Linked DNA regions of Tribolium castaneum. The protein of the gene in region 1 interacts with the protein of each later gene in a biochemical or structural test. Links are inferred from orthologs where the notes say so. Each region holds a gene or a part of one and is shown in the gene's direction. Other genes may lie near its edges.

Region 1 (4,921 bases):
TATCTAAATTAGATTTGATCTTTTCTATTAATTATGAACAGAAATCCATTAAATCATTTTGATTATTGGGATAAAAGTGATTTATGGAAACAATAAATGCAACTTTTTTATCAAATAGATAAAAGTTTATTCTATTTTTGGCAAAATAAGTACACGTGCTGCTAATGTAAATAATCTACAATAAAAAAATCACCAGTTAAGCTAGAAATTTCATTATTTTGTTTATTTTATTGTTTTCATTGCAAGAATTATCGCTAAAAATAAGTAAAAGCTTATCCCTTTTTTTCCATTTAAGGTAACAATTAAGATTTTTTTAGTAGATTTTCTAGAAACCGCTTGAAAAACTATTAAAAACTAAAACGAAATTGAAGCCGAAAAAGTCAAAATTCAGTAAATACATCGTTCAAAGCATTAGACACGTTTTTGAACTGGAATTTTTGTTTTTTTTAACAAGTATTTTTTTAACGAGTATTTGACGGTATTTTTGCGGTAAAAACTAAATTTAAAAAAGAAATTCTTTGAAACTAGTTAAAAAAATTATCAAATTTGATCGAAAATAAGCAAAATGTAATCAAAAATAAACCAAAATAATTTAAAATCTAGCCAAAAGTAATATTATTTGACATTTCTCAATTCGGTAATACGTCCATAGACTAAAATTTCTAGGTATTTTTTAACATCTTAACTTATTTCACCCGATTTAGCTAGTTTTTAAGCAAAATTAAATCAAAAATAAACCGAAAAACTCAAAATTTAGTCTAAAATATCTTTCAGACCATTAGAAAATGTTATTGAACAAAAGTTTTATTTTTTTTAAACAAACCGAAAAATCACTAACTACATCAAAAATTACATTATTTTAGTCTTTATTTCGAGTATTTGACCGTATTTTTACATTGTATACTGATATTTTTTAAAAATTTGATTGAAAATAAGCAAAATTTAATCAAAAATAAACAGAAAAAACCTAAAATCTAGGCAAAGACCGAAAAAGTCACGTCATAGATTATCTTTTTCTAAAATTATTAATCATTGTTTTGAATTTTTTGAATTTCGAACTAAAGAATTTTTTGAAAAAATTCCTTAAAAGCTTTCTCAAAGAAAAGGTAAAAATAATATTATTTAGTTCGATTTTTGGTCAAAAACAAAGCCTTTAGGTATGTTTTTTAATCCAAAAAAAGGTTTTTTTTGTGAGATTTTTATTAAACGAAGAGAATCACAAATTAGAACAGATTAAACTAAAATTACATGCTTTTTTCGATATTTCGAAAAATAGAATCTTCTTTAAAAATCTTTAAAAAATCATCTAAATTGATGTTATTTTAACTTGTTCCACTCAATTTAGATCATTTTGGAGCAAAATTTCGTCAAAAATAAGGCGAAAAACTTACCTTTATTATTTTGATTTTAATAATTTTTAAAACAGTCTTTTGCAACATTTCGCTAAGATAGACGAAAAAACACTCTATCTAATAAACAATTATATTACTGTTGTCCTTTATTAGTGTTTTTACGAATGTTTTTTTCGCGAAATATCGTTTAAATTTCAACAAAATTAAATTAAAACTAAAACAAAATTTGTAAATACGTTGAAAATAACATGATTTTGAGCGTTTTTTAACAAAAAGCGCAAATATCATGTAAAATAACGATAAAAACTAAGATCTTGTTAAGAAATTCACAAAAAAAACTAACTTTTTGAATTCCAATCTGGTGAATTAATTTTTTTCGTGTTGGCACCGCCTTGCCACTTTTCACGTGTGGTTATTCGAGTTGGCTGATGCAATAATTCCTCAGCGATTTTAAGTGATTTTTCCGGAAAATTCGCAGTTTTAGCCGTTTTCCCCACCGAAGCCAAGTTTCCTGTTTAGTGAAAAGCGCCCCAAAAGTGTGAAAATCATGGCAGAGGACGACGCCGTGAGTAAAACAGGCCCAATCTGTCAGGGCCAAAAGTAAGGTTATGTGCACGATTTTATCGTAAATAAATTTCCAGATTTTCGATCCTTCGCTCAAAAAGAAAAAAAAGAAGAAGAAGACCGCGTTCGATATCGAGGCGGCGTTGGCCGAGGGCGGGAACGACGCGCAAGACGCCGCCCCCGAGCCCGACACTGCCAAGGAGGACGAGCAAGATGATGCAAATGTTGATATAGATTTGGACTTCACCAAGAAGAAAAAGAAGAAGAAGAAGCCCTTCACGGCCGAGGATTTGGACGCCGTTGCTGGGGAGGGGAAGGACGAGGGGAACGAAGGGGGGAATCAGGATGAGGGGGCTCTTGATGATAACTTCGACCTGGAAGTGGACTTCAGTAAAACCAAGAAGAAAAAGAAGAAGAAGAATCTGGGGGATCTGATCGCAGAGGCTGATGAGAAGCATGAAGACAAGGAAAATGGTAATTATTTTTTTGAGGTTTTTTGGGGATTATTTTCTTGTTTGTCTAACATGCTGCACTTTAGTTGAGCGAATTCCGGAATCAGGTAACGTTTTTTTCATTAAAAATACGTACAACTGTTGTAATTATTGTGCAATTTCGTAAAAAAGAATGATGGTATTAGTGTAGCTCTTACTTTTTTTATCTTTTCGAAATATCAATTTATTAAAAGAAAATTAAAAAAAAAGATTTAACTCTTAAGAGAGTTTTTTAATTTTTTTTTGGTAAATATTTATTGATAATTATATACAATAAGTTTGTTTGTCTATAGGTAAAAATTCATATATTTTTTTTTTTCTGAAAATTTAATAAAAACGTACTATTTTTGGCTTTTGTTAGGGCGGATTTAACAAAAATTTCGTATTTCTTGAGCGTTTAACAACCCAAAAAAATTTATTGTTTTTTTTTCTCTCAATTATGGTTATTTTTGCATTTTTTAAGCCTTTGAGTTTTTATTTCGAGAATGTTTTTTTCCGAATGAGTCAACTAGTAGTTGATTTTAGCTAGTTTAGGTGACTAGATAAAAAAAACTCACTTTTAGCAAGATTTAGTTCAAATAACTCAAAATATTACACATTTTAGTCGGAAATGACTTATAATTATTGTGCATTTTTGTAAAAGAGCTTAAATGATGGTATTAGTGTTGCTCTTAGTGTTTTTTATATTTTCTCAAAATATATATTAAAAGAAAATTAAAAGGTAAAGATTTAACTAAGAGAAAAAAAAACAAAAATGATCAATAGATTTTTTAAATATTTTTCCCCTGTTTGGTTTTTTATTGAAAAATGTATAAGTCGAATATTTTTGTCTACTGGGTTAAAAGTTCATTTTTTTTGTTTTATTTTTTATTTGAGTTAAACTCACTTTTTACAAAAATTTTTTCAAATATTTAAAAAAAATACATGTTTAAGTTGGAAATAACGTATTTTTTTCGGGCGTTTATGGAGGTTTTTTTGTTAACAAATGTTTTTTTTTTAAGATTTTGCTTGGAATTGCCAATAAACTAATTATGCATTTGGCCAAAAATTCGGATATTCTTGCTTTTTTGAACACTAAAGTCTCTAAGATTTGTTTGTTTGTTTTTGAAAAAACACTTATTATTACCAAAAATTTCGTTCAATAAATCAATTAGGTAATTAAATTAATATTAATTAGGTAAAAAAACAAGTAATACCATCATTCACATGAGTGTTGATTTATTTTTTTAACTGAAATTTTTGTTATTTAGTGGATGAAAACTCAGCCGTTTGGATGACCTCCGATCGTGATTACACCTACGATGAGCTTTTGAAACGTGCCTTTGAAATAATGCGCGATAAAAATCCCGATATGGCCGCTGGCAAAAAACAAAAATTCGTTATGAGACCACCACAAGTCGTCCGAATTGGTACTAAAAAATCGTCATTTGCCAATTTTACAGAAATCTGTAAAATGCTCCATCGTCAACCGAAACATTTACTCGATTTTCTATTGGCTGAATTAGGTACAAGCGGTTCAGTGGACGGCAACAGTCAATTGATAATCAAAGGTCGCTTCCAACAGAAACAAATCGAAAATGTTTTAAGAAGGTTAGTTGCTCGTGCCTTCGGCCCTCGTCACAAATTTTTCTGTTATTTTTTTCTACAGGTATATTAAAGAGTACGTCACGTGTCACACGTGTCGTTCCCCCGATACAATTCTCCAGAAGGACACTCGATTATTCTTTTTACAATGCGAAACATGTGGTTCCAGATGTTCAGTAGCAAGTATCAAGTCAGGTTTCCAGGCTGTTACCTCAAAACGTGCTGCAATAAGAGCGAAAACAGCCTAGATGGTAGGTTAGAGGCGCGCAATATTTATACTTATTTTTAATTCAAAGTAGGTGTTGTGTACACTTTGTACGTAATTAGCCAATTGTTGAATAAACAAGATTGTGACACAAGAAAAATTATTTCAAACCGAACTAAACTACAATTTCCTAAGTCTAACATTTCCTAATTTAACAAAAAACACAACGAAAAAAATTGTATCAAAGTTACACCCGTTTTTATGTTTTAAAAAAATGTAACGTTATGGCCAAATTTGAATGTTCCTGTTGTCGGAATGAATGGAAATTTTGCATGCTTACGTAATCTGCGTGCATTCTACATATACACATAATTTTATACTTTTTTCGTGTTAACGGTTTAAAAGATTTTCTGAAATAATGTTATTTTTGACTAGATTTTAAGTTTTTTTTTGGCTAAATTGTGCTTAATGTTAGGAAAATTTTCGAAAAAATATATTTTGCCTGCAAAAATATAGTCAAACTTTCGAAATGGGGTCAAAAATAATGTAATTTTTTATGGAGTTGGTTATTTATTCGGTTTGTTTTGGCCAAATTTAAAAACAAAATTAGTTTTAAAGCGTGTTTAATGAAAAGAATACAATTTTCGACCAAGTTCCACGTTTTTCGACTTATTTTTGACGAAATTTTGCTCAAAAACGAGTGAAACAAGTTGAAGTAGTGCAAA
Region 2 (4,069 bases), on another chromosome or scaffold:
TTCCATATCGCTCTCTTCTTCGTCCTCAGAGTCGATCTTTTTGCGATCAACACGTTTACGTTTCTTAACTGTTGGCTTTTCATCGCTGCCTTCATCAGAGGGCTCAAAGTCTTCATCGCTGGCACTAGAACTATCATCCTTCAGATTAGATCTTCTACCTTTATCTCGTCCTGACCTTCCGCTATTCCTCTCATCACTAGAATAGTTATCGTGAGACGAATATCCTCTGTTGTTTGCTCTCACAGCTGCAGTTCTTTTCGGTCTTCCTCCTCCAACAGGTTTTCCAGAATCTTTAGGTTCCAAGAGGAAATCAAGTATCCTTTCAACAATATCATCTTTAGACCCCGTTTTCTGAAGGTCTAGCATCTCGCAAATGCTTTTCAGTTGTTTTACATCACACTTAGTCATAGATGCCACCTTTTTAGAATACTCCTCTGAACCTTTTTTAAATTCAAAGCCATTGAACTTTTTGATATTTTTCTTAATCATTGTAACCTTTCCTTGCAACTTGAACAAAATCTTGTGAAGAAGTCTCATATCTTCGTTTTTAAACCGGGAAATTGACGCGTCAATCCGCGGTATTGCACCCAGAGAAGTACCAGACCCATTGGGTATCTCAACCTTTACAACCTTAAATACAACAAATAGAACAAACAGCACTCATTTTTAGATACGTACTTCTTTAGTTTCCGATGGAAATTCCTCATTGAAACGCTGTACATTTTTCCGCTCCCGTTTCCCAGACTTCTCCAAAGGTTGGTCCAGTAATGGCACGTCTTTTTCGTCATCACCACCGTCCTCACTCTTTTCATCCTCCTGCTCGCTGTTTTCCTCCTCATCCTTCTCCTTAGCTTTAGTTTTCTCCTCCTTTTTCTCGGAAGGCTTCGTGTCGCCTTTTGCGTTTTCTACTTTATCTGTTGCCGATTTATCGGTTTCAGGCTTTTTATCGGCCTCATCTGAAGCCTCATTTGGGGCCTCCTTGGGCTTTGCGTCCTCCTCCTTCTTTTCGACGCTGTTTTCAGTTGCTGCGTCAGGCTTGGCGTCTTTTGCGTCTTGAGAAGAATCGGTATTTTCGGCCTCGTTCTTCTCGTTAGACTATAACAGAATACAATTTTTTCGTTATTTTCCCACACCAGCAACTTTATTTTTGATGTAATTTTCGGTTTCCCGCTTTTTCAAATATCAACATACGCCATGTTGAAATTTCTTTCACTAACATGTTGTTTTTTAAGCGGTTTTCCAACGAAAGCGTTGCGATAAAATTGCGAATTTAACATCAGTAGAGGCCCAGGTCACGATCTATTTTTTCGAAAATAAATAATTGAGGGTACTTACCTCTGAAGAGAGATTTTTAGAAGAATCACCTTCACTAGACATCTTAACTGTCATATACCGCGTCTAGAAATGTCCAATAAGAAGTCACACGCATTGCATAATCGACCAATGCAAATGTAGCATGGGGCCACTGTGCAAAACGGTTCAATAAATGCCTGTCTTACTGAAATTTTTTCGAAACTGCGACGCTACTAGCACTTTTCAAACACAGAAATCAAGAGAATTTCCAATTTCAGGTAATTAGGGGCTGTTCAAGGCCGAATTTCTATCATTTAGGAAACTTTTCGAGCCATCGTAGCAGTTACTTTTTTCATTTATTTTGGCTGTGGCTAAAGTGCCGACGTGACTCATTTGCCGGAAAAATGGAAAATATTTTTTTTATCAAACTTATTTTTAGAGAAGCGGTTGTGATCTTAAATATGACAACGAATCGAATCCAAATTTCATCTTTCAATAATAATGCATTAATTGAATATAAAATAATCCTCTTAAATTTTTTCGGTCTTAGGCACACGTTACATCGCCAAAAGAGAAAGCGATATACAAATCACTTGTATTGAACAAAGATAGTCATATTTGATGCGTTGAATAATACAGAGAAAAGCTTGCAGGTTGTGGCTGTGCTGTCACACGTGAAGTTATTTCGGAATTTCATCATTTTTTCATATATTTTGATAATAATATAGGTATTTATAACAACCGTAACTTTTTATGATAATTTATTCTTACATAAACTCATTAACTTTTCGTTAAAGCTACTTTTTGTGAATATAACCTAAAAATTCATTTCCATATTTTCAGGTAAAAATGCCTCTCTCCTGTAGATTTTACAGGGAAAAGTACCCTGAAGTCGAGGATGTGGTGATGGTGAACGTTCGAGCCATTGCCGAAATGGGGGCTTACGTTCATTTACTGGAATATAAGAACATTGAAGGCATGATTTTGCTTTCCGAATTGTCGAGAAGACGTATTCGTTCCATAAATAAATTAATTAGAGTAGGTAAAACGGAACCCGTTGTTGTAATAAGAGTGGACAAGGACAAGGGTTATATTGACTTGTCAAAAAGGCGTGTTAGTGCTGAGGATGTCGAGAAGTGCACTGAAAGATTTGCGAAAGCAAAGGCCGTCAATTCGATTCTTAGACACGTCGCTGAATTGCTCAAATATGAGTCAGATGAGCAGTTGGAGGAATTGTACCAAAAAACTGCGTGGTACTTTGAGGAAAAGTACAAGAAAAATAAAGCAAGTGCTTATGATTTCTTCAAGCAGGCTGTCTCGTAATTATTACAATTAAACAACAATATTACAATATAATCGTTGTGTAATTTTCAGTGATCCCAGTATATTGGCCGAATGTCAGTTGGATGATAGAACCAAGGAAGTATTGTTGAGCAACATCAAGAGGAAACTGACTTCTCAAGCAGTCAAAATCCGTGCTGATATTGAATGTGCATGTTACGGCTATGAAGGAATTGACGCTGTGAAGACAGCCTTGAAGTCCGGTTTGTCGCTTTCAACTGATGAATTGCCAATTAAAATCAATCTCATTGCTCCTCCTCTCTACGGTAAAAAACTCATTTCCAACTAGAATTAATTATTTATCCGTGTAATTTTAGTAATGACGACTTCTACGCCTGAAAAACAAGACGGGCTGAAAATACTAAACGATGCAATTGAGAAAATAAAAGCCACAATTTCTGAATTAGGTGGCGTTTTTAACGTTCAGATGGCTGTAAGTGATTTAATTTCCTTGTTTAGGACCTGCTTTTTACGTAAATTTTTAGCCTAAAGTTGTGACAGCTACCGATGAAGCTGAGCTGCAAAGACAAATGGAAAGAGCCGAATTGGAAAACACTGAAGTTGCGGGCGACGACGACGATGAAGAAGACGGAGATGAGGGACAAGTTTACAATGAGAATGATAATGAATCTGAACCTGAAGAAGATTAAACAAACCTCAAACGTTTTATGATTAAATACCATGTGTATTATAAGTTTTTATATTGAAGCTTGTGGTTTAATTCAATATTTTAAGCCAATAAAATATTGTAAAGGTGAAAATGTGTTTATTATAAAGAAAAAAATACAATTTAACCCTCAAAGAATTTTGGCAGTTGGTCGCCCAAGACCACTCTGCGCTCGATTCCCTCCTCTGTAATAATTCCTAATCTAACCACACCACCCGAAGAACCATCGCGTGACATTGCGAGTGCCAAAGCTGTAAAAACTGAGTTAGAAAAAATTTCTCACGAAAAAATAACCTACTGTTTGTAATGAATTTAACACACTCTTCCTTCGACATGTTCGGTTTATAGTTGGCGTCAACGTACCCGTACACGTAACTAGAGCCTGAACCCCCAATGGAGACCTGCTGTCTCACACACATGCCTCCAATGGGGATTGAGTACACTTGCCCCCCTTTACGTTTATCCCAACCCGCAACCAGAATACCGGCCATTAGGGAATCACGATAGTTGTAACACAACTCGCGAAAAACCGCAGCCCCTGTCTCCACCAAAGGCTCTTCCCCTAACTCCATTCTACAAACCAAAATTTTTATAAAAAAATTAGCTAAAATTATCTCTACCCATGAAAACTTAGATGGTAGGCCACAATGTCCGCAATAGCCTGGGTATCGGCCGCGGAGCCAGAGCGGCAGCAGTAAATATGGTCGGTTACTTTAGTCAGTTTGTCTGTGACACGATTTGCGATGTATGCTCTACAATTAGTGGGGG

Evidence for each region. The genes of interacting proteins can lie anywhere in the genome.
Region 2: the proteins of eIF2beta (region 1) and eIF2alpha form a complex in vitro, tested with the Homo sapiens proteins (2 studies listed by BioGRID and IntAct). The link is inferred for Tribolium castaneum from reciprocal best matches to the Homo sapiens genes EIF2S2 and EIF2S1.

The regions. Positions count from the first base shown.
Region 1 is NC_087394.1:663,445-668,365, forward strand, and holds eIF2beta (eukaryotic translation initiation factor 2 subunit 2), read left to right. Parts: upstream 1-1,731; 5' UTR 1,732-1,899; coding exon 1,900-1,917; intron 1,918-1,993; coding exon 1,994-2,390; intron 2,391-2,454; coding exon 2,455-2,475; intron 2,476-3,657; coding exon 3,658-3,997; intron 3,998-4,055; coding exon 4,056-4,239; 3' UTR 4,240-4,356; downstream 4,357-4,921.
Region 2 is NC_087396.1:10,998,711-11,002,779, forward strand, and holds eIF2alpha (eukaryotic translation initiation factor 2 subunit 1), read left to right. Parts: upstream 1-1,878; 5' UTR 1,879-2,021; intron 2,022-2,136; 5' UTR 2,137-2,142; coding exon 2,143-2,612; intron 2,613-2,667; coding exon 2,668-2,900; intron 2,901-2,951; coding exon 2,952-3,067; intron 3,068-3,119; coding exon 3,120-3,284; 3' UTR 3,285-3,395; downstream 3,396-4,069. Other genes in the region: protein DEK, read right to left, coding at 1-630, 679-1,095, 1,336-1,389; Prosbeta1 (proteasome subunit beta type-6), read right to left, coding at 3,425-3,552, 3,600-3,874, 3,922-4,053. UniProt on the Homo sapiens protein: Member of the eIF2 complex that functions in the early steps of protein synthesis by forming a ternary complex with GTP and initiator tRNA. This complex binds to a 40S ribosomal subunit, followed by mRNA binding to form a 43S pre-initiation complex (43S PIC).